4 linked regions of the Lonchura striata genome follow. The protein of the gene in region 2 interacts with the protein of the main gene of each other region in a biochemical or structural test. Links are inferred from orthologs where the notes say so. Each region holds a gene or a part of one and is shown on either strand. Other genes may lie near its edges. The genes, in order: GPBP1L1, LRRK1, NUDT16L1 and CHGB.

Evidence for each region.
Region 1: the proteins of LRRK1 (region 2) and GPBP1L1 form a complex in vitro, tested with the Homo sapiens proteins (2 studies listed by BioGRID and IntAct, with this or other methods). The link is inferred for Lonchura striata from reciprocal best matches to the Homo sapiens genes LRRK1 and GPBP1L1.
Region 3: the proteins of LRRK1 (region 2) and NUDT16L1 form a complex in vitro, tested with the Homo sapiens proteins (2 studies listed by BioGRID and IntAct, with this or other methods). The link is inferred for Lonchura striata from reciprocal best matches to the Homo sapiens genes LRRK1 and NUDT16L1.
Region 4: the proteins of LRRK1 (region 2) and CHGB form a complex in vitro, tested with the Homo sapiens proteins (2 studies listed by BioGRID and IntAct, with this or other methods). The link is inferred for Lonchura striata from reciprocal best matches to the Homo sapiens genes LRRK1 and CHGB.

Annotation. Positions count from the first base shown.
Region 1 is NC_134611.1:13,257,999-13,265,931, forward strand, and holds the start of GPBP1L1 (vasculin-like protein 1), read left to right. Parts: upstream 1-4,921; 5' UTR 4,922-5,014; intron 5,015-7,933. Other genes in the region: TMEM69 (transmembrane protein 69), read right to left, coding at 2,367-3,086, 3,658-3,702. UniProt on the Homo sapiens protein: Possible transcription factor.
Region 2 is NC_134613.1:21,622,003-21,629,353, forward strand, and holds the start of LRRK1 (leucine-rich repeat serine/threonine-protein kinase 1), read left to right. Parts: upstream 1-4,346; 5' UTR 4,347-4,468; coding exon 4,469-4,535; intron 4,536-4,672; exon of another isoform or gene 4,673-5,472; intron 5,473-7,351.
Region 3 is NC_134618.1:4,128,198-4,135,658, reverse strand, and holds NUDT16L1 (tudor-interacting repair regulator protein), read right to left. Parts: upstream 3,004-7,461; 5' UTR 2,988-3,003; coding exon 2,763-2,987; intron 2,351-2,762; coding exon 2,090-2,350; intron 1,164-2,089; coding exon 732-1,163; 3' UTR 177-731; downstream 1-176. Other genes in the region: E3 ubiquitin-protein ligase MGRN1, read right to left, coding at 3,973-4,085, 5,171-5,278, 5,898-5,943, 6,413-6,536. UniProt on the Homo sapiens protein: Key regulator of TP53BP1 required to stabilize TP53BP1 and regulate its recruitment to chromatin.
Region 4 is NC_134605.1:440,369-448,211, reverse strand, and holds the start of CHGB (secretogranin-1), read right to left. Parts: upstream 3,015-7,843; 5' UTR 2,913-3,014; coding exon 2,864-2,912; intron 1-2,863. UniProt on the Homo sapiens protein: Secretogranin-1 is a neuroendocrine secretory granule protein, which may be the precursor for other biologically active peptides.

The sequences.
Region 1 (7,933 bases), on a different chromosome or scaffold from region 2:
TTTTCAAGTATGAGCTTGTTTAAACTGTTTTTCATAATAAAATGTATTTTCAGAACTGACTGGAATGTTCTTGAAGAGGTTGCTTCCATAACTTAGTAAACTATATTACTACCACTTTCATATAATAGGTAATTTTTTCTTTTTATTGGAAAACATATTTCCCAGTAAAACACTAGGGAAAGGTTGGTTATAAATTTTGATTATTTGAGTGGTGGAATTAACAAGCTTCTATAGTAAAATACTCATGTATTTTTCTTCTCAGTGTAAAATAACTCAGACTTCTTGGGAGTATGTCTTGCCAGCTCTATTCAGCCCTCTGTGGGATGAAATTACAGATAATATTTCATAGTCTTTCTTATTTGTATTTCAGGATCCCTCTTGGAACCGTTTGAGAAACACTACCTTAGCCGTATTTTATTAGTTTGGTAACTACAGGTTTACTTCTGATCCCTGTTAACTTTCTGGTTTAATGGAGCTTGAGGGAATCTGCAGTTGTCTGAAATAACTGATTCTGTTATGTTTGAATGAAACTTCAAAGCTGGTTGATTATGGTCTCTGATCATCAGCACCTCTTTTACCTAATCAAGATAAAGACAGGACTCTTCTCTGGACCCATGTTAAAAGATGCCATGTCTAAATAAGAAGGAATAGAAAAACCATTTTTATTCACAAACTCAATTTTATTTCCTTTATGTTCAGAAAGCTCTGAAATATATTGTTTAATAGGGTACTTTCATAGTTCAGTGTAGAGCAACTGATACCCATAAGTGCTTAGTAAGTTGTTTAACATACAAACGTTAACAGATTGCAAAAGGGAGAGTCTGATGTACAGAGCTGCTCTTTCAGCAACATCATACAAGATGGTTCCATCTCCAGGACAGGCAGGTTTCTTAAACATCTGTTCTTTGCAGAACAAAAAACGTTAAGGGACAACATGTGCTTTACTTGATGTAGAACAATGAAGAATAGAGCTTTAACAGAACTATGAGGATTATCTGGTCCTAAGACCACGTGTGGATGTAATTTTCAGCTTTCTTCCTGCATCTTACACTGCTCTTAACTACTACTGATAAAAAGCTTACAAGAAATATGCCCACATCCCATTTCATAGGTTTCTTGAGGTAGTTGACACAAAAAAGAAATCTATGTGACTTAGATTTTATCTTCTACTAAATGATGTACTAGGGGGAGTCAAGTACAGAGAGCATATGCTTCTGCAGTGGTTTCAGTAATAGCCCCATCACGGAGGATTTGCAGGCCACATACAAGCCCGTTGGTACCTGTCCAAATGTATGGATTCTTAGGAGGGAGATGACAAGCTCAGTCCCATTTCAGTCCCATTATCTGATCCCTCAGTGCCAGCACTCAAGTCCTTGTGTCATAGCATACGTTAACAGTCCTTTCATTTAGGAGTATGGCAGATCTTTATGGCTGTGTTGCATGCAGCTTCCTTTGCCAGGCAGCCCTAAATCCAAAAATCTACAAACAGGTGGCTCCAACAGCCTTTTTAATTTCAGTAAGCCTGAGCAGGAATTTCACCTTCCATCCCCTGTAGCACCTTGTCAGCCATACAAAGCTTCCTCTTCAGCTTTTCCCCATTCCACCACAGCAGCTGAATGACACATTTCAGGTGAGTGCTGACCTTGGCTTGCCACTACAAACAAATCTCACCTGTCCTTTCTTATCTGCCAGCGCACTGAGCGCTTCCTCACACAGCATTCCTGGAAGGGTCCAGGCTGGATGGGGCTTTGAGCAGCCTGATCTGGTGGAAGGTGTCCCTGTGTACAGCAGGGGACTGGAATGAGAAGATCTTTCAGGCCCCTTCTGACCCAAACCATTCTGGGATTCTGTGACTTTCAGCACCTCCTCTGAAAATAGGAGTGAAGTAAGAGTCTTGTTCCACAACACAACAACTGAGTAGAATGTGTTTCTGCATAATGCTCTGCTACTTCTTTAAACACCAAACTAGAACTGCTTTCACCTTGTTACTGTTGTTTTCCACACCTCAGAACATGATTACACATTACAGTCAAACTTTCATAGTTTGAAATGTTAGTCACAGTCATGAATAGTCATTAAATGCTTTCATAGTTCAGCACAGAGTAATTCATACCCATTTCATTTTGAATCTTCATTCTAAATTCCTAGAGCAGCAACACCTCATTCAGATTCTTTGTTCTACAGATAAGGGCAGACTCATGCCTGCCTTGGAAGTAATTGCTATTTACAATACTTCCCTCCTGAACTAGCTTCAAAATCAGTTGGAAAATAATTTTGCTTCAAGAATAAGCATCTTCATCTCTGCCATCATACAACTTCTAAGCACAAATCAGTCTTTATTTCTCCTGGAACTCCATACAAATGCCTTATTCATTTATGTTCTGCTGTGTTTTTCTATCATCACTTTGCTCCCCTTCTAAGAAAGCTTTCAGTGCTACAGTGGCCAACAGGGATAATATCATCACCATTGTTCCCACTACCCTCAGTACTTTAAACCACCTGGGGTAAGGAGGAAGAAGGGAAGTGTCATAATGCAGCGCTATCCCTAAGGCCACCGTGAGCATCACTGCTCCCTGAGTGACATCTTTGAAAAGCAGGGCTTGGCAGGCAAGCAGAGCAGGAACTGTGCCATTAGCCAGGTTCAGCCAGTCTGGCTTGGCTGGGCTGTTTGCTGGGAGAGCAAAGCCCCACCTCATTCCCCCGAGGAAGGAGGCTGTGGCAGCACCGTAGGCGACCTGAGCAAAGGCCAGCTCTGGGCTGTAGGTGCCCTGCGTAGCCATGGCCAGCGGCACAGCCACAAACGGGATTAGCCCCCCCAGGCTTAAATAAAGGGCTGGCTTGGGACAATCCTTCAGAGATCCCAGGTCTTCTTGTGGCTCTGCCTCAGATTCTGCAGGGGTTTTCTCCTTGGAGATGGGGAGAGAGGTGTGGAAAGCCCGGAGCTGGGCTGTGTAAACTGATGCTGGTTTGAGGCTCAGGGGTGTGGAGAGAGGACGTGCACATCCCTGCAGCTGGAGGACCAAGGAAGAGCAGGCTGTCTTATTCTTCCCCTGGAGCAGCAGACTGGGGCCAGGTAACTTCTGCAGCTGCAAGCACAAAACTTGTTCTGAACACCGCACAGTGCAGGCTTACAGACCCGCAGGTACTTAAACAAGCTCCTGAATATTGTACCAAGTGGTTTTCCAGTCAGGTCACAGCACAGCTGTGTTTGCTTCTGAATTTCAAGTGGTTTTAACTAAACTAATGAAGGCACCCAGTGCAGCTGATGAAGAGCAACTGGGCTCTGCAGAGTGCACAAGCAAAGCTTACTCAGTGCCCACTATCCCTCCCCACACATTTTCTTTGAAGATGTATCAATCCTCCTCCGAGTAAAATATAAAACAGTTTCATATAGAAACAGAATGAGGTCACCCCAGAAACCAGCTACTGTCCCCTCACTACTCCATAAAGAAATGATAGGAAAAAAAGACTTTGAGACAATAAAACTTGATAAAAGAAATAGCTTTGCCTAAAAGTGTTGTAGAAATGAACTATTCCAGAAAAGATGAGTGACACACTCCAACTTGGAAGCCACCTTTTTTTTTCAAAGCTGCAGTCCTATCTTTTGCTATTTTACTTTTAAATAAATCAGAAAAAAAAAATCCTTCAGTAACTTACTTTGAAAGGTGTGTTGAAGCAGCATCGTTGTATGAGAGGAAACATATTTGTTTTGTCAATGTCCTAAAACAGAAAAATTCAGAAAAAGGTCTGAAACCAATGAATCACTGAGCTGGTCTGATGCCCAAAGTTCAGTCACAGTCTGCATTTACCAAATACAAGAGTACAAGAGTCATATATTTAAAGAGATATGTGTGTGTGTGTATATATATATATATATATATATATATATATATAACATATGTATTCAATCAGTACTTGCCCACTACAGAATACTTAGTTTCAAGCAGCAAGCAGCTCTGTGAGCTGAAATTCTAAAGTTGTATTGACTGTTGCAAGAACAATTTCTAGTTAAAAAACTGAGTATCAGGGAACAGGTGATGGCTTCCCGTTCGTGGATCATCTCCTCTTCAAGGGATAAATGGCTTCACAAAGCTTATAAAGGAACAATTCCTCACACGTGGGAAAAGCGATCACTAGTAAAAAAAGGAGCAGAAAAGGCATCCCATGCAAGCTGCAGGTAAGCTCCCTGCCGGGGTACGACACCCACCAGGGGAAGGTGGGACTCCGCAGTTCCCGGTCCTGCTACGCTGGGAGAGAAAGCCAGACTGCCCTGCCGGAGGGCGAAGGGAGCGGAGGATATACGTTCAGTCCAGAGGGAGAAGGAGCCGCTCTGCCGAGCGGGCAGGACTCGCCGGGCGCTGCCGCCACCCCGGACCCGCCAGCTGTGGCGGCTTCCGGTGCCCTCATAAGCGCTCCGACGGCGCCCGGTGCTAACGCGCTACCGGTCCGGCCGGGAACCGGCACGGCCCACCGTGTTCTGCCGGGCCGCGGAAGGCCCCACCGAGCCGATACCGGGGGCAGCAGCGCCGGTCACTCTTAGCCCAAAGGCCGCAGCCGGCCTGGCGGAGGAGCGACACCCTGCCCGTGGGACAGAACCTGTCCTGGGGAGCTGTGCAGCCGTTCCTGCTTTCTGGCTTCCGGCATCACCGCATCGGGCAAGCCTTTCACAAGAGGACTACAAATCCCAAGCGCCCTGCGGCGCGCCGCCCGCCTATCCGCACGGCGGAGATGGCGAGTAGTCTCCTGGGACGCGTAGTCTGAGGCCGCTTCCGACGGGCGGTGCCGGGGGCCGCGCGAGCCGCCGCTCCTGATTGGTGGGGCGGGAGGCGCGGGGGCCGGGGCGGGGGCAGGGAGGGGGAGCCGGGGGGCGTGTCCCTTCCGCGTGCTCGGCCCCGCCCCGCGCGCGCGCGGGCCCCGCCCCCTCCGGCCCCCGGCCGGGCAGGGCTGGGCGGCCATTTTGGGCAGAGCTTTGTTATGGTTGTGGGGCCGCCGGAGCCGCGCCAGGGCCCGCCCGGTGAGTGCGGCCCCCGCGCCGCCCCCTCCGCGCCCCCCGCGCCCCCTCCGTCTCCACTTGGCCCCCGCCGCCCCCAGGCCCGCCCCGCCGCCCCCCGCGGCATCGCGGGCTCGGTGCGGCCCGGGAGCGGCCTCCCGCCAGGCCGGGCCCCCCCACCCCCTCCCCCCCGCGCTCGGTCCCGCGGCCGCGGCGGCTCCGGGGCGGCAGCGCGAGGGCCCCGCGGGCAGGGCCGGGCCGGGGCGGGCGGCGGGGCCGGGGCTCTGCGGGTTATTGTTTCCTGTGCAGCCGGGAAGTTCGTAGCGCTGACACTGCCGGAGCTCAGCTCCTGTCATGGGGCCGTCCGTGAGCGGGGCGGGGTGGGGGGGGGCGGCGGGTGAGTCCCGGGGACCGGACAGGGGCGACCCCGCTGTAGGCCGGGAACGAAACCGGGCGGCCCGGCCGTTCCCCTTGGGCTCCTCCCGGGCCGCGGTTCCCGGCCGCCCCCGGCGGGAAGGGGCGGTCGGCGCCCGGCGGTGACACGTGGGCTGCGGGCAGCCGGGGCTCGGCTCGCCCTGCCCGCTGCCAGCGGGGCTGGGGAACTTGTCAGGTGCCGCTCGGTGCCTGCTCGGAGGGAAACGGCGCCCGGCCCGAGCGTGAGGCGGCTCTTTCGGGCGTCCGAGTTATTTCCGTGTGTCCGGTGTGTTTGATGCCCCCTTGGCCTAAGGGCTTGTGTGGTTTGACTTAAAGGGCTGGGGCTGGACGTGATCAGAACGCGCCTAGCGTTTCTAATATCCATTTAAGACTTTGAATTCAGTTCAGTTTAGTAGCGAGCTGTTTTGGAACGATTTTAGAGCAGTCAGTAGGTGTCTGCACAAGTTACGAGTTTTTAAACAGCTTTAGAAGAACAGCAGCTATTTAAATTCTTACAAGTAATGGTGGAATGGTTTAAGAGTGTTGCTTAAATATCTTTTTATATTAACATGACCAGGTAGGTCAGCCTGCCTTTCCCCGCCCCCGAGCTGTGAGTGACACAAGTGTTAGTAATGTTGATAATACTCTGAAACGTTGCAAGTGCCTGAGCAAAGTGTGGAAATAGCAAAGAGGGGGAATGGAGATAACAGCTGAGATAATTGGAGCGCCATCAGAGCTGAGTTTACTGTAGAGTTGACATTGATTCTATAAAAATGTTAGGTGGTTATGAAAAAAGCTTATGCAAATGTTACTTCATGAATGAAGATGACTGGTATTGCAGTTAAAGGTTCCCCGTAATGCTTATCCATTTGGAGACTGGTATCTCAAACTTCCAGTTCCTGACTCGGGAAGGATACAGGTGCAGAGCAGTGGTAGGAGCAAAAAAATTCCCAGATTTGAGAGGAGCAGCTTTTCCTCACGCTCTTTCACATAATCTCTGGAGGAAAGTCCCTTTAAGAAGAACTTATTAAAAATTTTGTACTTAGAATAGAAAGGCTTCAGGTGATACTTCCTTATGGTGTTAGGGGTTTTTTTACAGCTGTTTGTAGGGAAGTGCAGTAGCCCTCTGCATTTTTTACTCATCTGGTTTATAGCCTTAATCCTATGTGACACAGAAGTTTCCATTGCAGATATCATACGAGGACCTAAAGTGAAAATATGCAGGGAACAGATGGCATTTAAAAAAAACCACAAATCCTGTTTTTTCTGCAGTGTCTCAGAAATATGAGGAGCAGAATGCAGATGTGAAATACAACAAATCAGATGGAAGTGCATACTTTCTGAATGTTTGAAAAAATCTTCACTTTGACAATATTTATAGGGTATGATCACCTTGTTTCACATATGTGACTGGTGCATGGTGTTACTGAATCTTGACGTTCCTGTTTTAAATTAGGAAATTAAGTCACTACAGGAAAAATAATATTCACTAGTATTTTCATTAAATGGAAACAGTGTTTCAGGAGTTATGGGATCCTTAATTTAATACAGAAAAATGCTGTGGTTAGATCTGTGAATTTCTTCAGGAGTGTGGGATGTCAGATAATGTAGTTCTTGCCTTTAAAAAATGAAGAAAAACTATTGGCTCAGGAGTTAAAGTTACCTTTTTCCCCCCTCAGTGTTAGGAGTTGTTTGAAGTTAGTTGTGTAACTGCTGAATTGACTTAGCTGTGAAGTGTACTCCAGGGTGTGCTTTGTTTGTTTGTCTGTACGAAGAGATTTGGAAAAGGGCTGACTCTGTTCAGTAGAGCTGAGGCTTTAAAGCACCTCTCCTGCCGAGTGCTGGCTGTGCTTGCATGGACACAGCTTTTCCTTACAGCTCCATAGAAACCAGGGGGTGACTGTTGCTCTAGCTTACCCAGTGACAGTCATACTTACTGGATTTTGCACTTGATGAGGTAGTGTGTGTACCAGGAAGTTTGTCTGGGATTTTTAAGTTTTATGTTAAGTAGAGGCAGGAGTTGTTTAGTTTTGGTTCTGCAAATTCAGCAATGTAAGTAGACATTTTACTCTCACTTACCTAGTGACCAGGATGCCAACTCAATCATGTGTGCCTTTTGTTTCAGCAAGAGGAATTGAAGTTCATGTTCTCTTTGCTCGTCAGATTTGATGAAAAGCAGTGAAGTTAGCAGAAACATGGTCCTGCTCAGAATACTTCATGAAAGCCAGGATGTTGTTTAATTTGTGTACTGTAACTTTATATGTTCCTGTGAAAATGTGCCAAACTTTAATGAGTTACTGTATGGTCAGAAGATATATCTATGGTTTTAGGAGTGGATTTAGGTAGAGATTCATAGTGGCTAAGTGTCCACTGCCCTGTGTATGTACAAACACTGGGCAAACCTGGAAGTTCTAGATTAGGCCTGTGAGTGTATAGTAAGCAGGGAGGGAAGCATTTTGGCTTAATTGATCATACACGTTAGTGATCAGGCTGTATCCCTCCAAACTGGAAATTCCTGATTGAAGTGTG
Region 2 (7,351 bases):
TGGCAGGGGCAAGCACAAAGTTGGATGGATCCTCTTTTCCTTCTGAGGTGAGCCTCAAAATGAAGTGTTTCAAGACATTCTGGCTCCTGCAGCCAGATGGGGCTTCCTGCCTTGCTCTGGCTGCTCCCTAAACCCCTTGAGACACATCCAGCACCAGTGTGGCTCTGCTGAATGTGTTCCCAGCCCAGTTTTATTTCTCTCATCTGCAATGTAGATACAGAGCAAGAACATTCCATTGTCTTTTAACTCTCTTCCCATCTGATGTGTGAGAAATTCCTATGGGCTCCCTACACAGGCCAAGCCAAACTCCTTGAATTTTCCACTCACTGACAGCATCACTCAGAAGCTTTCAGACTCCAGAGAAGGAAAGGCTGAAGATACAGAGGCATTACTGTGAGTGACACAATCAATGGAGACAAAAGGAAGAGTGGGATGAGATTTGGGGAGGGGAAAAAGCGGGAAATTAGCTTGAATATGTGGGTAAATTATTGCCAGAGGAAATTAGAGGCTCTATCATAATAAAGGAAAAAGTTAATTTAGGGTGTTTTCAAACATTGTGCTAAAAATGAGGTAAGAAAGGTCTGGATAAGAGCTGGGCTGTGAGGCATAAAAGGGAGCAGGCTGGCTAAGAAGTGGAAAGGTGCTGAAAACAGGTAACGCTGTTTTTTAACTGTGTTAAAAGCCAGAAAACAATAGTGTTGGTACGTTCTAGCTCTCTACCTATGCCTGCAACTGGACGCAGAGTGATGGTGGCCTGAACACAGGGAAAAGCACCGGTAACACCCATCTGTGCCATCCAAAGGAACCCCCAGGCTCCCGCAGCCGTTCTGTGCGCGCACATCCACCCCCGGGTGACCAGCAGTGACCCATCGCTGGGTACCGAGCAGGCTAAAAACATCCTCTGTGTTTAATTTATAGAATGGCTGCGAACAGCAAAGCAAAAGGCACGCGGAAATATTGGGTTTTTTTTCCCTTAGTTGATCCGACGAGTGGGGTAAACGGAGCAATCCCTGGCTTGTCAGGCTCCTGGAGAGGAACGGGTCAGCCTGGGGAAGGGCCGGCTCCTTCCGAAGCGAGGGGGCAACCTCGCTCTGCTCTTCCAGCGAGCACCGAGCTCGCCGCGGTCGGGGAAGGAGCAACTTTCAAAGAGCGCCGCGGTAAGGCCGGGCCCTGCGGGACTGCGGGAGCGCTCTTCCCCAGCCACCGCCACTCCCACGCTGGCATTGCCCACACAGCTCAACCCTCGGAGCCCGAGGGCTGCCCGGGGGCGGGCGGGCGTGTGGGTCGGCTCGGGGGAAGGAGCTCCATCCTGCCGCGGGCCAGCCCTGCCCTCGGGGCAGCGAGGGGCCGTGCCGGGGACTCGCCCTTGGCCGCGGGGCCGGAGGAGGAGCCGCTGTCCCGCTGCCTTTGCCGCCGGGCTCCCTCCGCTCCCGGGCCGCGGAGCGAGCGGGGCGCGGGCGGCGAGGAGGAGGCGGCGGCAGCGCCCGGAGCGCCGGCCCGGGGCGCGGAGGTACCGTGGCTTTGCTGCCGCTTCTCGGGCACCTGCCCCGCTGCCGGGGCAGTCGGAGTGGGGGGCTGCCGGGGCTTTGCAGGTGGAAATGAGGGGGAAAGCGAGCGGGAGTTTGTTTTTGAAGAAAATGAAAGTTCAGAGAGAAGCTCGCGGGAGCGGCGCGGCCGCCCCGCCCGGCGGGACGCGCTGTGAGGGGACGCCTCAGCCCGCTGGGAAGCGGCTGGAAAGGCTTGAGAGACCCCCCAAAACGGGGTGTAGCGCCTGGTGACCCCCCAGCCGGCCGGGCTGTGCGAGAAGGGGATGGTTTTGTTCTCGCTGCTCAGCCGGGACGAGGGACGCGGTCCCTGGGCGGGCAGGGGGTCCCTGGGCTGGCACCGCGGCCCCAGGCTCGCCGTGGGCACCGGGCGGGAGAGCCCCAGCGCCTTCCACCTGGGCCTCTCGGGCCCCAGTGGGACTGCCAGAAACAACAGGTGGTTTGGGTAAAGCACTGAAGTTTTATCAGGGGTTTTTATCAATTAGCAAGCCATTTTCGGCTAACCGCGATGTTTCTGGCAGCCTGTTTTTAGGCACAATGCACAGGGTCAGACAGGGCGGGATGGTGAAGGGGAGGGGAGTGGGTGGTTCAGGTGTGTGCAGTAGGAGGTGTCAGGGCTGGGAATGTGTGAAATGGGATGTAAATCCCATTTACACCTGTTCAGGTGTATTCTGCATGGCCCCTCTCCTTCTGAACGAGACTCTGCAGAGCACATAGACTCTCTAAATCAAATACGTGTGGTGTTTGCACGTTACAGTTGTAACCTTACAGCAAGTGCACCTTGCTTAAGGTAAAGTTCTGTAGGGGTTTTAAAAAAATTTATACAAAAAGGTCCTGAAATACAGAAATCCTCATTACATGGGCGCTGTGTGGCAGTCATATACATGGCTACAGCATTCAGTTACTTGCAGTTAAAGGAACTGATTACCAGAACCACACCACTATTTTTCCTAAAAATTATTTTTCCTTTCACTTTATAAGAGGAAAGTTTCAGCCTGGGGAATAGGCTGAGTAGACAGCAAAAAATCAGGAGTGGAGTGGTTTTCAAGCCTCAGGGGTCCATGCTAGCCCCCATTCAGTGTTTCTTGTACAGTTGCTGTAGGTGCACATGGTTTGTCCCCGTCTCAGAGCAAGGAAGTGCCTCAGAAACCATCATCTGCTGCAGAGCTGGTGGGCCAGAGTGTGCATGGGGAAGTGTTTACTCTCCCTGGAGCTGCTCAGTGCATCAAGGGCACAGGGCAGGCAGCTGCTGGAAGCATCACATCCCCTCCACTGCCAGAGTGAACACCCTGGACAGCTCTGGGGAGGTGTGAGAGCCTTCCTGACACCTCTGCCTGGGCCATCCCACCTGTGGCATGGAGGAATGTGTGGTCCCAGCTCCTCCTGCCAGCGTTGTCAAGGGAAGCTGAGGCCAGGAGAGAAGCACCAGCACCAGTTCCAGGGCAGAATTCAGTCCTTCACCAACACAGTGCAATTCACCACTTTGTGGGCTTGGATCTGGGATTAGGATCACCTCCATCTCAGCCTCCTGCAGCACCCTGTGCCCAGACTAGGGCACAGGGGTGCCAATCTTTTTTGCTGCTGCCAGGCACTGCAAAGTCAAGGTCAGCAGAAGCTGAGTGCACCTAAAATTCAAATATTTGCCTAAAAACAACTGAAACAGGATGTAGTGATTTTTAGTGTTGTTGGCTGAAACCCTGTGTAAGGAGGGAGGAGCAGAAAGCTTCCCGGATAGTAGTGATGGATCAGCATATTTTTATATTCCCCTTGGCCTTTGATCCCAGTTCAGGAAGTCAGCTCTGCTCAGCGAGAGTCAGGGAGGGTCTTGGGCCTTGCTGGCTGGAGTGGGAGGTGGGTTATGAGCTTTGCTGAGCTAGAGCCTCAAATCAGAACTTCATCATCACACACCAGACTTGAGAAGAACCAGTAGGAGTCAGTTGAGGTGCATCATGTCACATCTGAGAGGCGTTTACTGACTGAAACTGAAAGCAGAAAATGAAGGAGCTCTGATGCTGGTTGGACAAACACTGCAAATCCTCCAGGAGCCTGAGCCTCTGTACGAAGAGGTTGAAGGGTGGTTGTGCCACTGTGAAAAGGGAAGGAGTTGGAAGTGCCTCGGGAGACTGAGCTGTGCAATTTTCTGCTGCCTGTTATACCAGGCAGTTCACAAGAAGCCAACCTTTAATAGCTCCTGAGGGCCTGATTTGCCTCCCTGAGTGAAGAAGCCTGATGCTTCCAGGGTGAGAGAGTTCTCAAAAAGGACTGGCAGAGGGGACAAGAGCTGGTGTGTTTCTCTTCACCCTCTTCTCTTTCCTACAGAGGATTATCTCAGTAACCACATCAGTGTTTTTCAGTTTCTCACAGTCTTACAAGAGCTGTGGTTGTCTTTGTGGATGGGAGAGGTTTTGAGGTTGCATTTAGGATTTTTCCAGCTGCACTGCAGGGTTTCAATGGTCTGCCTTTACACCAGCTTGTGGAGAATCTGAAACTGCAGCTGTGACCCCTGTCCACCCCCTTGTCCTCTGCCCAAAGACTGAGCAGCTTTGGTGGTGAAAAATTAGGAACATTATCTTTCTGTAATGCAGAAATTGTTAGTCCCCTCTGTTAATTCATGTTATGCTCTTAACAAAGCTATTATGAAAATAATTATATTTATAGGATAAGAGTATTTCTGCTGTGTGACATTTGGACAACTGTGTTAATAGTAGAGAGGAATAAACATCTCACTATTTCTACAGTGGAATGATTAATTTGTTTTGTTGTTTATTTTTAAACAGAATAAATGATGTTTCTTCAGGATGGTGCTCACTAGCAGCCTCTGCTCCTGCATTCACATGATGGGGATCATCCAGCTTTGACAACACTGCTCAGTCTGAAGTGCTGTGGAAAGTTTGTCTGTGGGGCCTTCACAACTGCCACCCAGAATGTACTGGTGTGTGGGAACGGAGGAATCCACTGTTTGCAGGGAGAGCAACATGGATCCACAGAATGGTAAATAGCAGGATTTGTTTCTTTCCTGTTCAGATTGGGAACAAAAGGTTCTAAGACAACTTGGTAGCCACTGGGCTCTGATGAAGTTTAAAAATGTGAAAGTTTTTTCAGCCCTGATCTTTGAAAATTTACAGTCTGGAATTTTATTTCCAGGGAGAGTGATATTGAACTATGGAGGTGGTAAGAATAGCATTCCCCTGAAGATGGATGTTCTCCAAAGGCCTACGGAATTAGTCAATATATGTATCATGTCTCCCCAGTTCCTAAATATGTTTTACAAGATCTGTGCTTTTTCAGTGTGTGAATGCAAATATGTTCCCAGTCACTGATGCAATGGGCATTCAGGATATGAAAGCTGCTAAAATCAGAGCATCTCTTCTCAGCCTGAACAGATATTAACCTGCTCCAGTTTTACCCTCAGCTCCTATTCAGTGGCTTGCAGTGATTTTATGTTGGGCTAGATTAGAACATTTGTGTTTATGTAATAAAGAAATTCTCCTTTTAGAAGGGACATATGCTTCAGGTTGCTTCCTGTGAATTTTTTTTTTTTTTCCTGAGCAGGCAAATTATTTTTGGATGGTTTCTCTCACTGCAACCCTCAGCTCCCAGGCACTGCTGCCTTTCTCTGAGTCAAACCCCAGTTATGTTTCTGCAGCAAGAAATAGCCTCCTGTTCTTGTGTAACGGTGTTCCCCCCTTGCAGCAAGTGCTTCATTAGGAGGCAGCATCTGCGTTTGAAGTGTGGGAAGAAGGTGTGTTTGACGCTTTGTAGTGAGTAAGCAGGCTCCAGCAGAAGCTAATGTTTTTGCAGCCTTATTTTGGATTTTATCAGCAACTATGAAGCAAAACCTGGTAGTTTATTCAGAGGCCTCCTTGTCTTGTCTGAAGACATTCCTCACCAGCGTCACAGGGAGCTCTGGGAACTCTTTCCTTTCTCCGTACGTATTCTGCTTGTTCTGTGATACTGATTTTTCTGTTTGCTGTTGGCAATTAGGACTGTACCTTTCTGTAACACTTGGTTATTGAATATTTTTTAAATTCTTAAATTCTGTCTTCTGAGTTTCTCTCTGGAAGAAATTATCTCCACTTGAATACTAAGCTATAAACCATGAAAAGAATTTTAATCTGCGCTAACGGTTCACAACTGTTCAGAATTGCTAAATCTTTGTTCTGCAGTAGTGATCTGGCAAGTTTTCTCTCTGTGTAAAGATACAATAAATAAATTATTGTAGGAGTGAATAATGAAGTGGAAAGTGGGATAGTGAAATTTTTTACATTTTGAATTCAGATTTTTTTCAGAGAACTTTATTACACGTTGCTGTTATGTAATTATATTCAGTTAAACTGGTTAGCTGGAAGCATGCAAATCTCTGGTAGACTCTTCTATATGGATATATCTGGGTTATATTAAAATAGTCTACAGTGCTGGAAAACTGGGAAAGGGATCCTTGTAAAGCTTAAGATCCCTGTACAAGGCACCAGTACTGCTTTGGTGGATTTGCTCATTGTAAGGGTTTTGTACATGCTTAAACTCACTGTTTTGGTCCTGCCAAGAATGATTGTCATTAGCTAACTGGTCCACTCCTTAAGTTACTGGTCCTTGTTCTGGCTCAGATCCCATTACAGGGGCTGAAGCAGGAGCACGGTGACTCATTCAGCCTCCTCATGCCAGCCCATTGTTTACACCGGTGAGGAACTGTGGATGCAGCCTCCTGCTCCCATTCAGCAGAAGCTGCTGGGAATGGGAGTGAAATCCCGGATCATTTCTTTCCTACCAATGACCTCGTTAGTGCTCAGAGTTTGGAGTCTTTTTGTTTTTGTCAGGCAGGAGGGACTGGCTTGTGGGGGATTTAACCAGAGCACGGTGGTGCTGGGGGCTCTGGGGTGGGTCAGCTGGATCAGCATGGCTGGAGGCCCCTTCCAGCAATTCCCTGTGCACCTTCATTATCTGAAGCCTTAGAATTTTTCAGGAGTTTTTTTTTCCCTGGCAGCTATAAAGCCCTGGCCAATTGTATGTGGAGAAAAATCACACTCAGCATCCTTCTTAGTTAGAAAATGCAACACAGGGTGCAGGGGCTCACCTTGCTCAGGTGTCTGCTCTGCTGTTCCTCCTGGTTGCCAGTGATTTCCCTGTATCCCAGCAGAGGATGCCAGCTTTCCCTGCATCCCAGCAGGATGCCAGCTTTCCCATGGCATGGGTGAGCTGTGTGTCAGACCTGGACACTCTTTGCCCTCTGGGGATGGTGCTGGGCTTGACCTGGTGGTGCTGACCAAGCCCTCAGAGACTTGTCACCAGAACACAGGATGAGTGAGGCTCCCTTGTGGGTGTACTCAGCATCTCCCTTGCCTCCTCAAACCCTGCTTCCCCCTCTCCTGGATTTGTTCATCTTGTCCTAATTAAAAGAAACTGAGCAGGGATATGGGGGTGGCTGCAGTCTCTCATGAAGTACAGGGTCTGGGTTTTTTAAAAAACTTGGTTAAAGAGCTCTGCATAATACAGAGGAGGTGACATGATGGGAATTTTGTAGGAAGTACAATGGAAGCCCAAAGGCATCACTTTATGAATGTGTAGAAAAGCATAAAGATTCTTTGCCTTTCTATGGGCTGATTGATTTCTTTGAATCTTACAAAATTTCATAGCTAGGATTTAATTCTTGTGTGGTTTTCTAGGAGCTCCTCAGAGGTGTAGAACAATCATTGTCTTCTGAAACATAAGGGTACTTCTGTTTAAAAAGCTTATCTCCTTCTTACTGGGAATTTTATTCAAAGTCCCAGGACATTCATATGCCACTGGTGTGTGTCTCAGAGGTGGGATTG
Region 3 (7,461 bases), on a different chromosome or scaffold from region 2:
AGCCATTCTGGAGCACCCCAAACTCTCAAGTGCAGCACCTGAGCCAGCCCACAGCTCTCCTGCCACCTCAGCTCCAGCCCCTCACCTCTGGCCTCTGCTCCCCCATCCTGCACCGCCCTGGCTCTGGGTCACCACCAGCTCTGCACCAGCCTCAAGAACGAGCCCAAGCGTTAAACTTTCAGCAAAGCCATTTATTCCACTTTCCTGCTCCCACAGATCTCCAGGTAGGGACCCACATGAGCATCCCCAACGCCCCAGAGGGAATTCATGGCATGGCTGCCCCGTTGTGCCAGCACCCCGAGCAGGAGCCCGGCCACTAACATGGGCAGAGGTGCTTGACCAGAAGCCCCAGGCCTCAGCTGTGTCCATACCAACACAACCACGTCCAAGTCGAGATGGGGCATTTAAAAAACTGGATGTTTTGTTCCTTACAAATAAAAGGGGGACCTGACAGCAGCAGTGTGTCCCTGAAATCAAAAGCATTATTCTAAGGCTCTGGCACCCTCACGTAAGCACATGAACTCTCTGCAGGGGCTGTGCAGGTTGATCTGGGAAGCTCGCTAAGAGTTTAATGGCCATAAAAATAAAATCGCTTTTCCCTGCTTTAGACAAACCCAACCCCTCCCGGCTGGGCAGTGGGATCGCGTGGGCAGCCATTGCAGCAGCCACGGGTCAGAAAGTTACAAGTCTCTCAGCTCACCCACTTTTAATTGAGCGCCAACACGGCGGCGTCACTCCATCCCTTCAGCCACCGCCTGCTCTGCCATAGCATCAGCGCCCAGCCCCACGTGCTGCTCCAGCGCCTCGGCCTCCCCCAGGCCCTGGCCCTCCAGCCCCACCAGATGCTGCTCGGCCCCCACGTGCACCATGCCCGGGTGCTCTGCCCTCTCTCCCAGCTCGTTGCCCGCTCTACCCAGCTCGTTGCCCGCCTTGTGGTGGTGGTGTCCTGCTGCCCCCCCGCTGTGGTCGATGGCCGCCTTCTTCGGCCTCTGCGTGGCAGCCACCGCCTCGGCCAGCTTCTCCTCTGGCACCATGTTCAGGATCTTCAGGGCAAACAGGAGCTGGAACTTGGCGGTTCCTACGAAGGAGTTGGCCAGGAAGTTGGGCAGCCCGCCCATGCGATCCTTCTGGGTGTAGAGGGGGACACGGACCATGCCCATCACCTGCAACAGTACGGGCACAGCTCAGCAGGGGCCACAGCAGCACCAGCCCCCCCTGCCCCACACCCCCTCAGCCCCACACCCTCACCCAGTGCCCGCCAGCCCTTGTCCCAGGCTCTCCCTGCCCCCGTGCCAGGTCCTGCCCCTCCCTCCCGCACCAGCCCCTGCCCTTGCTCCCCTCAGCCCCACTGAGCCCCGTCAGTGCCCCTGCCCAAATGCCCCCACAGGGCCCTGCTCTCCCTGCCCAGCCCCTCAGCCCAGCCCTGGCTCTGCTCCCCCTTCTGCCCCATCGGAGGGATCCCGCTGCCCCAGGCCACTATGGGGAGTCCCGCTTTCCCCGCCAGCCCTGCCCTGCGTGGGGACACCACGGCTGACCCACGAGTCCCCTCGAGCAGGTCACAACCCAGCGCCCGCTGCCTCTGCTCGGAGGGCTGTTGGCACCCACCGAGCGCCCCGTGGGCACGCGGGAGGCCCTGGCTCTCACGCTCTGCCCCGGCCATCAGCCGGGCTCGGCTGCCCGGGGGCAGGAAGGTGCCCCCCGCACGGGAGGAACTCGGGTCACAGCAACATCACCACACCGAGGTCACGGTCCAGTCCGGGGCACTCGGCCCAGGGCAGGGGGAGATCCCCCCCAGCTGCAAACGGCCCTCGCCCGCATCCTGAGGCTGAGCGGCAACACGGGGATCATCCCTGCGTGGGACAGCAGGAAAAGCTGGAGCTCAAGCTCGCTAAGGTCTGGAGGCTGCGGCACGACCCCGGCCACAGTCCCTAACGCCGATGCCACGGGCGGTGCGGGCACCTGCCGCCGGCAGCTCTACCTGCGGTGCATTCCCCGGCCGGGCTGGCCAGGGCAGCCCGGCAGACCCAGGAGGGAAGCGGTGCCTCCCTGGGCTAACTGAGAGCTCGCACACCCCTCCCGGGTGTCCCACCTCCATCCCGTGGTCTCGGGAATGCACCGCGCTGATCTCGATGGTGTGCAGCTCCTCCAGGGTGAGCTGCCTGGCGTAGAAGTGTGCCACCACGCGATGTGGCCCCTCTGTCAGGTGCGAGCACAGATAGTCAGCTTCCGTCAGGCGCACACAGCCTAAACCCAAGCCCAGCACCCGATTCAGACCGTCCTCCAGGGACCAGTAACGGCGATCCACGAACCCCCCGGGAAAGCCCAGCAGTCCGTCAAATCGCATCTGCATCTGCAATAGAGGCGCAGGGTGTTAATGGGGCACGGCGCGGCCCCCGGCGGGGGGCGAGGGAGCGGCACGGAGGCCTCCGGAGGAGCCGGAGGGGCGCGGGAGGCGTCGCGGCCGCTCCGTCGCGGCACTACCAGCTCCGGCGCATCCAGGACCATCCACCGACAGCGGCCCGGCCGTCGGGGCTCTGCGCCCCGGCCGCACGGACCCGCGGGCCCGGGGGCTCCCCCTCGGGCTCGGGCCCAGCCTGATACTACCGCCCTGAACGGGAACTAGCGCGGAGCCACCGCCCCTCAGCCCGCCGCCCCCGGAGCCCGCGGCCCGACCCAGCCCCGTCCGCCCCGACCCAGCCCGAGGCCCGCCCGCCGCCGCCCTGGTCCCGGCCCCGGCCCGGCGCGGCCTCGCCCCCCCTCACCAGCACGGCGTAGCGCAGCGGGATGCGGCCGAACAGCATGCCCGGGTTGGGCGCGTACAGCATGGCGTGGCACGAGTGGCTCCAGCCCGGGCCGAGCCGCATCGCCTCGTACCGCGTGAGCGGCTTCAGCTCGGGCACGCCGGGCACGCCGAGCGTGGGCAGAGGCGGCAGCGCGCCCATGGCGGGCAGCGGGCCCATGGCCGCCATCGTCCCCACCGCCGCCATCGCCTCGCGCCACCGCCGTCCGCTCCGCGCACGCGCCGCGCCCACGACGCCGCGGGGGCGGGACCGCCGCCCGCCTCGGCCAATGGGAGCGCGCCGCGCGCCGCAGGGCCAATGGGCTCTCGGCAGCGCCCGCCAATCGCCGCGCGGCAGAGGCGGGGCGGCCGGCGGGCGGTCAATGAGGGGCGGGCGGGCTGCGCGCGCCGCTCGCCTTATTAGGGCAGCGCGCGCGGCCAATCCCGGCCAAGCGCGGGGGGAAGGCGGGGCGCCGAAGGGCATGCCGGGAAGGAGGCGGGGGCGGGAACGAGCGAGCCCCCCCCGGGCCTTGGCCACGCCCACGCACCAATCCCCGCCCCGCCCATTGGCCCCGCCCATTGGCCCCGTCCCGCCCATTGGCCCCGCCCCGCCCATTGGCCCCGCCCCTGCCCAGCGCCCGCCCCCCTGCACACGGACTCGCGTGGCTGCTCCACGGGTTTATTACTACAAACATAGACCGGGAGGTGGGGGGATGTGCCCCGGGACCCCCCGCAGAAGCAGAACAAGGCACACGGCGTGGGCAGCGCCGGGCTCTGCGGGACCGGGGGCGCGGGGGTCACCCCGGGCGGGCTGGGACGGGGCTGACCCCCGCGTCCCCCCGTGACGGGCTCGGCGTGGGCCGGGGCTGACCCCCGCACTCCCCCGCTCCCGCGGAGCCCCGCGCCCCGGCAAGGCAGGGAGGGCCACAGTTATGTACAGGGGCAGTGACAGCAAAGGGCTGTGCTCGGTAAGTACAAAATATACATCGGTAATGTCCTTCATCTGCCGACTCGAACCTCGAAGCCCCGCCCCGGCCCCACAGACATCTCCCACGGAAAAACACGACACCAGCCCCTACCCACCGCCAGCCAACATGCACAGGCTGTGCCGAAACCGCGTCGGTGCGACACCCCGCGCTGCGTCCCCGGGAGAGCCCGGCGGGCTCCGGCGGCACGGGCGGGGCCGGCCCCGCTCACGAAAGGCTCTGCTCGTCCTCCAGGTGCAGACGGGTCTGCTCGAAGAGAAGGGGCTGCGTGGGGCTGCCGGTGCCGCGGACGGGGAGCGTCTTGGCGAAGTCGGACGAGCCTACGTGAGGAGAGGGAGTTCAGGCTCAGTAAAGGCAGCCCCGGCGGGTGCTCAGCCATCCCTCCCGCCCCGGACGGACCACAGGAGATGGGGCTGCAGCCGACCACTCATGTCCTCAGAGGGAGGCTGAGTGAAAGGGTGGGACACAGGACACTGAGCGGGGACACTGTCTGCCACAGCCTGGGAGAAGCCAGCAGGGGCCTGGATGTTCGTGGTGCCCCGGAGGCAGCAGAGCCCACGCGCAGCAGAAGCCAGTGGGGAGGGGTTTCTGCTGCCCGGCCTGGCGTCCTGGCACTCAGGGACAGCAGGAATTCTGTGCCAGGAATAGGAAGGGAGCAAGGACAGAGCCAGCAGGGCAGCCCGGCTGGTTTGCTGCCCCTCCTTCTCTGCCCCGGTGGCCAGGACCAGCCCCATCCCCACTCTCTGCCAGCGTTCCCAGGAGGGCCCTGCTGCCCCACACAACAGGGATGCATAAGAAGAACGAGAAGACGTACCAGCTTACTCCTCTATACCAACAGAGCAGGAATCAGGACCAAGTGCTGCCCAAGACAGGAGGGAGGAAGGCAGACAGAGAGGGAAGGAGACATTAGAGAGGTAACTCAGAACAGACTGCGACTCTACGGAAGAAAACAGGCTGCAACGACAACAGTCAGAGGTGAGGACAGCAGTGTCCCACGGGTGTGCTCAGAGCATGGCGCACTGGGACCCTCCTGCCGTGACAACACTGCCCCAGTCCCCAGCTGCTGGCCCAGATCGCTCCCCTCCCTCACCCAGAAGCAGGAGCACACTTGGGAGCACACAGGAGGCCTTTGTCACACAGAACTGTGCTGGGAGGGGCCGTGGCCCAAAGAGAAGAAAGGAGGGGAAGGACAGAGACACGAGGGTGACGGAGGAGGAGAGAGAAGGGGCCATTACCTCTGTATAAGGCCCCCTTGCCCACCGCTCACCCTGCCCACGGGAAGTGGGAGCCCGTGCACCGGGCAGGAGCGCTCCAGTCCCACCCCGGGGCTGTGGGACACAGCTCCACGCGCCCCCCGGCCCTGGAGCCACGGTGGCGGCTCCGGCCCCAGCGGCACGGCCATTACCTGGCAGGAAGACGTCGACCGGGGGGTCACTCTCGGACCGCGTCAGGCTCCGGCTCTCGCCGCAGCCACCGTCCTGCAGCACGTCCTCGACCGAGGGCGGGCGGCTACCTGGAACCAGCCGAGAGCGCGGCCCCTCAGCCCCAGCATGGACCGCGGGCGCTCACAGCCAGGGTGGGTCGAGGTCTTCATGTGAGGAAGCTGCCCCGGCCCACCCAGCCCCACTGAGGTTCCAGGAGTGCCGGTCACATTGGCCCGGGTCACAGTGCCAAAGGGCCACCTCTTCACCTGCAGCCTCGTGGCCCAAAGCGTGCCCATCACTCCTCTCTCACACCCCATCCTTGTCCCCTCTGGGTGCTCACTGAGCACCAGAGACCCATCCCAAGGACCCAGAGGCCCATTCTGTGTGCCCAGTACAGTGGATGTGCTCTCACCAGGACCCCAGTGGTGTCCTCACTGGTGCAAGGAGAGCTCATGGCATGGAAAGCTCTACCTGAGTAAAGCTCAAAGCAAGGCAAGAGGCCTGGCAAATAAGCCAGGGAGACCTGTGGATTTTGCTCCCTCACCTCCAATAAAAGACCCTGGCACATTTCCCTGGTGAAGAACAGTGCCTCAGAGATGGGTTTAGGGGGCTGGATGTTTCTGAGCTCAGTTGTTCATTCCCCAATGGTCCCTGTCCCACACAACAGCACTGAACATCGAGCAGAGGTCTGGCTGCACCCACACCTACCCTGCTGCACCGATGAGGCCTCCTCCATCTCTTCCCCTGCCACGCTCTGTAAGGAGGGACAGCACAGGTTACTTCTTCAGCTGGAGGCTTTGCTGTGCCATTCTCCTGCTCTGGCTTTCTCCAGGGAGCTGTGCTCAGGGCCAGGGCTTGTTCCAGGGCAGGAGCAGGGGGCTACCCCAGTGCTGTAGCACCACAGGCTGGGATACAGGGGTCTTACCAGCACTGGAAGCTCCTAATGCCCAGCTCCCACCCCTACCCCAAACACTGCTGGACTTGGCCAGGATGCTGGGGAAGGTCAGCTCTGCCATTGCTCCAGCTAAGTGGTTTTCCACTTCCAAAGAGATGTCAGGAGCACAGGGAGTGGCTACATCCTTCCCCATGGAGCCCTAGGGGTAAACAAAGCAGCCAAGACTCTTGGCTCTGGGCAATGGCCCCCCAGCAGGCACTTGCCATGTCCCAGAAGCCCCCCCAGAAGAGCTCTGGTTCAGAAGCCCCCCTAGCAAGCACACACTTACCTCTGGAGAGCTGGTCTCCCTCAGGACCAGCTCACCCCCGCTCAGCACCGCCTGCGAGTCCGAGTCCTCGGAGAGCTTCTCCTCATCCTCCTCATGGATCGGGGATGAGGGAGACCGTAGTGCGCTGCAGCAAGAGAAACTCCATTTGCAGGGAGCTGCCAGCACCCTGGGGCCTGGAGGACTTGGGGGCATCACAAGCCAACTCTCATGAGCAGGAGCTCAGACTGGGGAGCTGAATCCACCAAGGCCTCCAGTATTGGCCACATGGAAACAGCAGCAGCAGGGTGGGACAGAGCCAAGTGCTGCCAAACTCCAGCACAGCAACAAGAGGCCCAGGTCCTGTGCTGCTCCTCACACTTTCAGGGCTCCCTTCTCAGGTGAAAATCTGGGCTGGAGCACAGTGAGGAGTTCCAGAAACAGACCAAGTCTGATCTGATCTGAACAGCCCCATATCCTCACCTAACCCCTCCATCACAGGGCCAACAGAGGAGCCCTCAGACAAGAACTACAGGATCTCAATTCAGCACTTTGTGCTCTGAAATCCAAGTCACTCCTCTCCCCATTCCTTTGCTCCTGAGGAGCTCCATGGAAAGCTGAAGTCCAGTAAGGTTTGGACATAAAATGTAAATTTTAGGACTAAGGAAGGAGGCATTTCCAGCCAAAGTCTTTACTATGGGGGTGGTGAGGCCCTGGTACAGGTTGCCCAGAGAAGCTGTGGGTGCTCCATCCCTGGAAGTGTCCAAAGCCAGGTTGGAGAGAGCTTGGAGCCACCTTGGATAGTGCAAGTTGGCCGTCCACAGTGGGGAGTTGCAATGAGATGAGCTTTATGGCCCTTTCCAACACAAACCATTTTGTGATTCTATGACCACATTCTCCTTGTTAAAAATCCTCTTTCTTTTGGTGACAGAGCCAGCCCTTAGGAGACACAAGCTGTAACCTCAGGTTGAACACAGGGACAATGTCCCAGTTCCCTCCCTGGCACAAGCACCTGCTGGCCTCCTAAAATTCTGAGTTAGCTGTGCTAGCAGTGATGGGACCAGCCCGAGCCC
Region 4 (7,843 bases), on a different chromosome or scaffold from region 2:
GTGGGGTAAACTCACACCTCCTTACACCAGTTCTGCTGTACCTGGGCAGCTCCTGCCAAGAAACCCTCCGTGCTGCCTGACTTTGCCATCACTGCTGCAATGCCTCCAGCTGGTTCATGAGCTTGGCTGCTGTGTCACTAATAAACTGTGTCAATTGCCATCCACCTGGAGCTTTCCAGGAGGGAGGTTAAGCACCTCTGGCAGCCCCACAGCAGTGTGAGGAAGCAGGGCCTGTTGAATCCTGGCTGTGCAGGTTCCCACACGGTGCAGAATCACAGCACACACATACACACAGCTTGGGCCGCAGCTCTGAAGTCCTGGCACGGGTCAGGAGAGTCCTAAATACAACCATGACCCCTCTGGCTGGGTCAGTGAGAGACCTCCTGAAATAGATGAACACACAGCACATCATGGAGATAAAAGAGCTCAGTTTGACCTCTCAGCATCAGGGGAATGAGCACTGCCCCAAGGAAGACAGGAGCACGTAGCCTTACACTATTTAAAGCAGCATAACCTTTTTATTCTCTGTGCTGGCAGAGGAAGTAGACATCCCCTGGAGCACTGACTCAGAGTGGAATAGCTGAGCATCACACACTAATAACTCCTGCTATTTCTGTGCTCTCCCCCAAACACACACGCAGGGGTGTGCTGCTTCTCCAGCCCCCATCCCTTCCTTCCCTGCGCACACGAGTGCCTTCAGAAGGGAACCCACACAAGGAGAGCACAGAAGGGATTCCCCTAAAATAGCACTGCATTCCCCCAGAGTGCCAGGTGGTGTGTGAGGGGAGATGGTGCTGGGAGCCAGCCCTCTCATCTCTGGCTGACTGAGGTGGCTCCGGGCTCCTTTCCTAAGCCAGTGTGCAAACCATTACCAGGCTGCTGCGGGCAGGAGGAGCAGCAGCACATACACAGGGCAGGGGACAAAGCCCCTCCCACCAGAGGTGCTATTCTTAAAAAGACATCCTCTGGCTCCCACAGGTGTTGGGGATGCTGCCTTTACAGCAGGAGCTGCTCCCAGGCTCAATGAAAGCAGAGCCCCTTCACAGGCTCTTTTTGGGGAGGCTCCTCTGCTCCTCCAGTCCCTGAGAAAAGCTGACAGGCTCCAGGGCAAACATCTGATTTTGTCCTTTTAGTGATGCAGCCACAGCACATCTCCTGTGAGTGATACCCAGGTGATGGGATAAAGCACAGAGCAAACTCCTAGGCATCTTTTCCTACTTCAGGCCACCCCGTGAATGCTGTCAGTGGCACAGAAAGAAAAAGTCAGGTTGTACCCACTGTCCTTGCTGTCATTCAAAAGCTCCCAAGAGCTTGTTTAACACTGAAAGCCAGCATGAACAGAGAGAGAGCATCGTAACAACAGCAGGAGAACCAAATGCTATTGGACAAATGTCCTATTAACCTGTCTGGAGAAACAGAATGAGCCTCCAGCCCATGCCAGAGCCTGAAATCTCACCCTGAGGCAGCTGCCCTGCCAGGGCTGAGCCAGGAAGGCGGTGGGGAGCCAGCAGTGCCCCACTTCAGCCGGGCGTTGGCAGTGCCAGCCCACGCCAGCTGGCAAGAGCTCCCCTGGGGCCACCTGCCACCTGGAGGTGCTGGCCAACACGGCTGCCCCCCTGTCCAGGAGGGGTGAGGCCATCACCATGAAGGGACAGCAGGCTCAGGCAGCAGGGCACCACCCGAGGGCTTGCAGAACACAGCAGACGGAGCACGGCGGGATCCAGAGCAGAGCCAGAGCACCGGCATGGAAACCCTGCACCTGAACACACAGCAGGGAACGAACCACAGCCCCACTAAGCAAAGCCAAGCCCTGGCTCTGTGAGCCCTCCTGAGTCAAGTCTGCCCAAGCAGTTACGATCAGATTATTTGATTTTGCCTAAGTGCTGAGTGGTGATGAATATCATGAGAAATGATAAATGCAGGACAAATTCACAAGGATTTTGCTTGCATCTCCAAGATTAGAATAGATCTTCAGGTGGGTCCCTGATGAAATCCCCACATGGCTTTGTTTCATCAGTGCAGATGACTCAGTGCAGTGTCATTCCTCATCAAAATGTCACAGTGTCTTCCTAGGCAGGATCACTGAAATTCAGGCATATTGATTTGCAGGAGTACTAGAAAGTTCTTGAATTTAATGTTCAACCAGTTCCACATTTGAAAGTGCGACAGCCACGAAGGATGTAAAGAATACCTGATCTGCTTGATGGCATAAATAGGAAAAAATATTTGGTAATAAACCCCCATAGCCTCTATGGTATAAGTGTGGTGAGCTCCTCTGTGTTGGGGTCTCTTCCCCTCCGAATCCCACCCTCCCTCTTTGATTTCAATAACGGCACTTGAAGGCAGTCAACTTCCTCACAGTCTCTGTACAAGTCCCAGAAGCGTGGAGACTTCTAACAGACCTAAAGCCAAAATACTCAACCCAGAATGACACCGACTCTTTCAACCAATGATGTAAGTATGCATAAAACACTGTAGAGCCAAGCCACCACCTCATTCTATTGCGCTTAAGGTTCATTTCACCGTGCGGTTTTAGTATTTAATGCCGCGTGCCAAAAATAAATAAAAAAACCCTGTTGGTTAAACCCGCAGAGCCGCTACTTTGCCATCACCTCCCAGCATCCAGCGCCGGCTGGCAAAACCCCAGCAGCACCGCTGTAAGGAAGCGGCACCGCCAAGTCTTTGTGCGAGGACGCTGCGCTGGGATAAAAATAAAGGCGGAGCAGCGCGGAGCTCTCGCCCAGCGCCATCCCCACCGAGCCCGGGCTCGGCTCCGCACCCTGCGTCCCCTCCCGGAGCGAGCCCGTGCATCCCTGCCCCGCTCCCCGCCCTTCCCGGCGGGATGTGCCCTCGCCCCGCTCACCTGCCAGGGCGGCGGCCGCCAGGAGGGCGAGCAGCGCCCGCGGCCCCATGCTCGGCTGGGCTGGGTCTGCCCGGGCTGGGCTCGGCTGGGCTGGGCTCGGCTGGGCTGGGTCTGCCCGGGCTGGGCTCGGCTGGGCTGGGCTCGGCGGCTCCGGCGCGGTTTAAAAGGGGACCGGGGGCGGAGGAGCGGGCGGGGGGCCGCCGGAGCTGCGTCACCGCGAGCCCCCGGGGGCGGTGCCGCCCCCTCCCCTCCCCTTCGGAGGGGCAACTTTCTCACTGCTCCGGCAAGCCGAGCTCCTTCTCCCCGCCTCGGCACCTACCGCAGCCGCCCTGCCCGCCCCCCGACTCATGCTCCCAACGGCCCTGTGCATCCCCCGCCCCGCCGTGCCTCAGAAAAGGGGCAAAGCGGGGCTTCCCTGCCTCTTTCTCCAGCTCACAGGACGCGGCAGCATCCTGAGGTCCTTCCTCCCGTCAGAGGATGCCGAGCCTCCGCCGAAGGGAGGAGGTGCGGTAACCCATCCCTCTCACACAGCTTCCACAAGAAATCAGCGCCGCGCCTCCACACCCTTTCCCGATCTGAGCCTCTTCAGGTGCTGCAGCCGCCTTTTCTTCCTGCAAGGTTTTGGTCCCTTCCCCTCCTCTCACAGCCTCCCCCCATCCAGTACACCCAGACCCCGAGAACGACTGGGATGTAATCCCAGTGCTTATGGCACCCGGGGAGGCAATGGCACGCAGTATTCCCCAAGAGTTCTAGCAGGGAAATCACAGCTCTCAGCATCCATCTCCGCAGGCAAACCTCTTATTTACTCTGATGATGCTCTGGGGAGCCAGAGGAAGCGTACAGAGATCAAGTTTTACATCGTTTCCTTTAACAGCCCCTGCTGTCCCAATTAATCCTTAGTGGAATACAAAGCTTGAATGACAAGTTAAAATGAGGAAGTCTGAATGGTCCACCCGGTTCCCTTCAGAGACCAGCAAAAAGCAGAATTCCTTTTGGTTTTCATTAACCCTCGGAGGGCCATCTCCAATTATAAGTGTATTTATAGTTTTCTTTTTTCTTTGTCTCCAGAGCCAAGCAGATGGCCCTCTAAGTGCCAGTGTTCCTGGAGGACAATGGATCTATACACCCAGCTGGCAGCTCCCTCTGATATCAGTCTGTGTGCCATTCTATTGTCCATTAACAATGGCAGGCTGCTACAAGCACACAGCCTTTAAAGACAGAAAACAGGACACTAGCACAGTGCCCCAATCCAACTCACCAGCAGGAAGCAGGAATTCCAGCTCCTTTTGAAGCCTGTTTCAGGAGACAGCCTGGAAGGGACACCAGGAGGCAAAGCCGGACACCTTGCTCAGCTTGCATTCAGTTTACAATTTCTGCAAAGTAACAGAAGTCAGTCACCTGGCCACCATGGAAGACAAGCCACATGCAACATCCCCCAGTGTCCCTCCTGCATGCTGTTCTGTGCTGCCTAAGCAGCCCCATCTCCACAGGCAGGAGATCTCATCTTTGGAGATGAGATCTCCAGTCTTGGCTTTAGGAAGTCAAGAACCTGTTACAAAAGACTGACAAATTTCCCTGGCTCCAAGGCCCCCCTTGTCCTCCCCTGTCTGTGTGAGGATTCAGCCTGGCCTCAACTTCTTCAGTTGCTCATGAGAAAGAATTTTAAGTGAAACATTTGCTTTTTATGTGTTCTCTGCTTCTGCAGGCATATAAATAGCATGTTTTGCCATCAGTTACATCAGGGTCTGCATAGGAGCACCTTCACACCTTCAGATTTGATTTTTCAGATTTTTTCAGATTTTATCAGGTTCGAGGTTGCCAAGACCTGCAAATGTTGTAGGAGGTCTCTGACAGGAGTAGGGACAGAACTGGCTGGAGTATATCCAACTCTGTCTTCAGGGTAGGATTCCAAAACAGGATCCCACAGACTTTTCTGCCAGCACTGGAAAACCAGAGCATCCAAGCATCTTGCCCACAGTTAATTAAGTCAGCCTCTGTTTTTAAAGCAGTGTCACTTCACATGGACTTTTACAGCCAGGGATCAGCTGGGGTGAGTTTCTCTGCAGATCAGGAGAGAGCTGTGACTGCACTAAATCAGGATTACTGCAGGCAAAGGCACATTTCATTTGATCAGCTGTGAGTGGCACCCCCCAACCTCCTTTCTCAGATGTGTCAGTACTCTGATCGCAGTGACATCCACGCCTCACAATGTTGTGACAATCTATTGCTCTATGAATAAACAGTATTTATCCTGTGGGATTCTCTCAAATACAAATGCTTTAAAAAATACACATTCGGCTCATGCTAGAAGCTGGAACTTCAAAGGATGACAAGCAAATTTCTGTGCCTGAGCTCCTTCTAAATTGAGAGGAGACTGCATGAGGAAAATGAGGATTGCTCTTCTAATTAGGTGTGCTAGTGGGGATTATCTTCATTCTTACATGCCAATTAATTTTCTCAGCATTAAAACACTGCAGCCCATTTCATGAACAAACTCATCTCTTTCATTCAGGAGGTGCTAAGAGGATGGGTCTAGAGAAAGACAATTGCACCTAAAGGCCACCACCATCTATCCAGTTTCATTAACAGAACCAAAATCCTTTCAGAAACCTTGCCATATGCAGTGCTCATTGCAACTTAAGGGATGATGGAGCTGCACAGCTGAAACATCCTTAGCACATGGTACCAGTGCCCAGCAAACTGAGCTGCAGCTGGGACCCTGTGTGCTGCAGATGGGTGATTTCTGTAGCATGGACAAATACCTTTTTTTGATTTTCTGTATTTATACTGCACCTCACACTGTGGGGTTTTATTCATGCCAGTGCAGAAACAGCTGATGGAACTGACTTCCAGTCGTTCATTGTCAAAAGACTTTCTTCATTAAAAAATCCAAAGTATTTACAGGGTATTTTTGCTTGAGAACCTTAAAAAGTCAGTCCAACTCTTCCTGAATGGTCTTTCTTAGTCTTCTTAAAACAAAGAAAAAATGAGGGCTTACATGTCCACATTTCACAAACAAGCAAACAATTTTTCACATGTGGACATTTCACATGTCCACATTCCACAAACAATCAAATAAACAAATTTTCTTCACTTGTAACCCTCTTCTCTTCCATGTAGGGTACTTCTAGCTCCTGTTTTTCAGTGATGTATCTATTCCATAGAAATGAGGTCAAATATTATATGGCCTAACTGAAAACAGTTTAAAATAAGCCTACAAGGGATGTCATAACTATTAAAATGGTATGAAAAATACATGCACAGACCTGCTGTGGTCTTCTGGAAAAAGCCCTGTGCTACCTGATATAAATCCTCAGGGCTTCTGGATACACTCACAGGCTGCAGAACAAAACAAAAGAAACCACCAAACCCAAAACAGAGGTGGGAGAGGAAGACCAAGTATAAACACAAACACTTATCCAGCATCCCAGGTTTTCCACAGAACATTTTCCCATCTGCTGCTCACACATACCTCTCTTCCTCCTCAGTCATCCTTCTCTCAGCTTGTTAAGTCAGATGGCAGAAAACTGGATTAATAAGTTTAAAATAATAAATAGATAAATAAATAAATAGCATACTTTGGAGCCATGAAGTGCTACTTCCTAGGCCCCTCCCTAGTAGCAACCCTCTGGCATTGCTTGCTCCAGGCAGGAAATGCAAGTTAGCTCCTGCAATTCCACTGGCAAGTGCCTCCATGGGGAAGATGACACAGATGGGAACCAACAAGCACATCTCCTCCTGGAACAGAAAGTTGGAATTTGCCTATGTGGGCACCACTGGCATTTTTAGTCACAAGACTTCATTTTTTCTGTGCTGCCACTTCTCACCTGATTGTCTGTCCAAAAATGATCTGCTGGACTCCAAGTCAAAACCCGGAGTTTTGACTTGAACTGGCCGGTTCATCACTCCAGATGAATTGGGCATCAAGCCAAAATGCAGCTTTTGGATCCTGAGCAGGGGCACAAGCAGCCCTGACAGATTTCTCATGGCTTTACAAATCGGGCTGTGACTGAACCTTCTCCCAGCCTCAGCTGCCACCAATTGCCTTGCTGACAACAGAAGCGACCTCCACAGCCCCGGGCACCTCCTCCTGTACCAGGGAGCAGTAGGAGCACCCAACACCCTCCTGAGCAGACCAGGAGTCCTGGCCCGTGCCCAGGAGCTGCCTCCACACCTCTCTGGGCTGGCTTTTGGAGGACTGGCATCACTGCAGGGCTGAGTTCCCAGGCAGGGGATGCCCAGAGAGCAGCTGGAGATGGCTGGAGCAGCTCTCCCCCTGCAGCTGGGCACGGCTGAGCTGCCACCCAGGTGCTGCCCCAAAGAAAACCCTCCCTCAAACAACCCCTGCCAACCCCCCTGACCTTTATTTACTCACACTGGTCAATTAACCTCCTTGGTGAACTCTGGGGCCTCTGTAGTAGAATAAAGAACAGGATAGAAATTTCTTTCAGCAAGAGAAATGTGGACATGTAAGCCCTCCTATTCTGAGTACTGCTTGTCATTAAGCAAAAAATTACTTTAACAGTTCTCTTTGCACTGCAAATAATTACATTTAGGCCATTAAATTGCCCCATTCAGTGTTTCTGCCTGCTTTTTGTCAACTGTGCATGTTCCATTTAATATTTAAAGACTAGGGCACTACTCTGGCTTATTTAGTAATTAATTTCTTTAAATATTTATAGCACTTTGACTCTCAGCAAGGGTTCTATTTGGTAAGAACAATACTGTTCTGTGGTTGATAGTGTCATGGAAATTTCATAGGCAAATTTCCATTTTGTAACATAAAAACATATAGATTTCGCCACACACTGTAATGGTTTCAGAATAAAATTTTTATTACTGAACAATGTATATACTGAAACAAAAATCCAATTATGCCCTTGCACATAATTGCAGACTGAAAACACAGTGTTGAGAGATCTATTTTATGCCAGCAGTATTCACACAGCAAAAGGAATCACCCAAGAAATTTTCCATCAT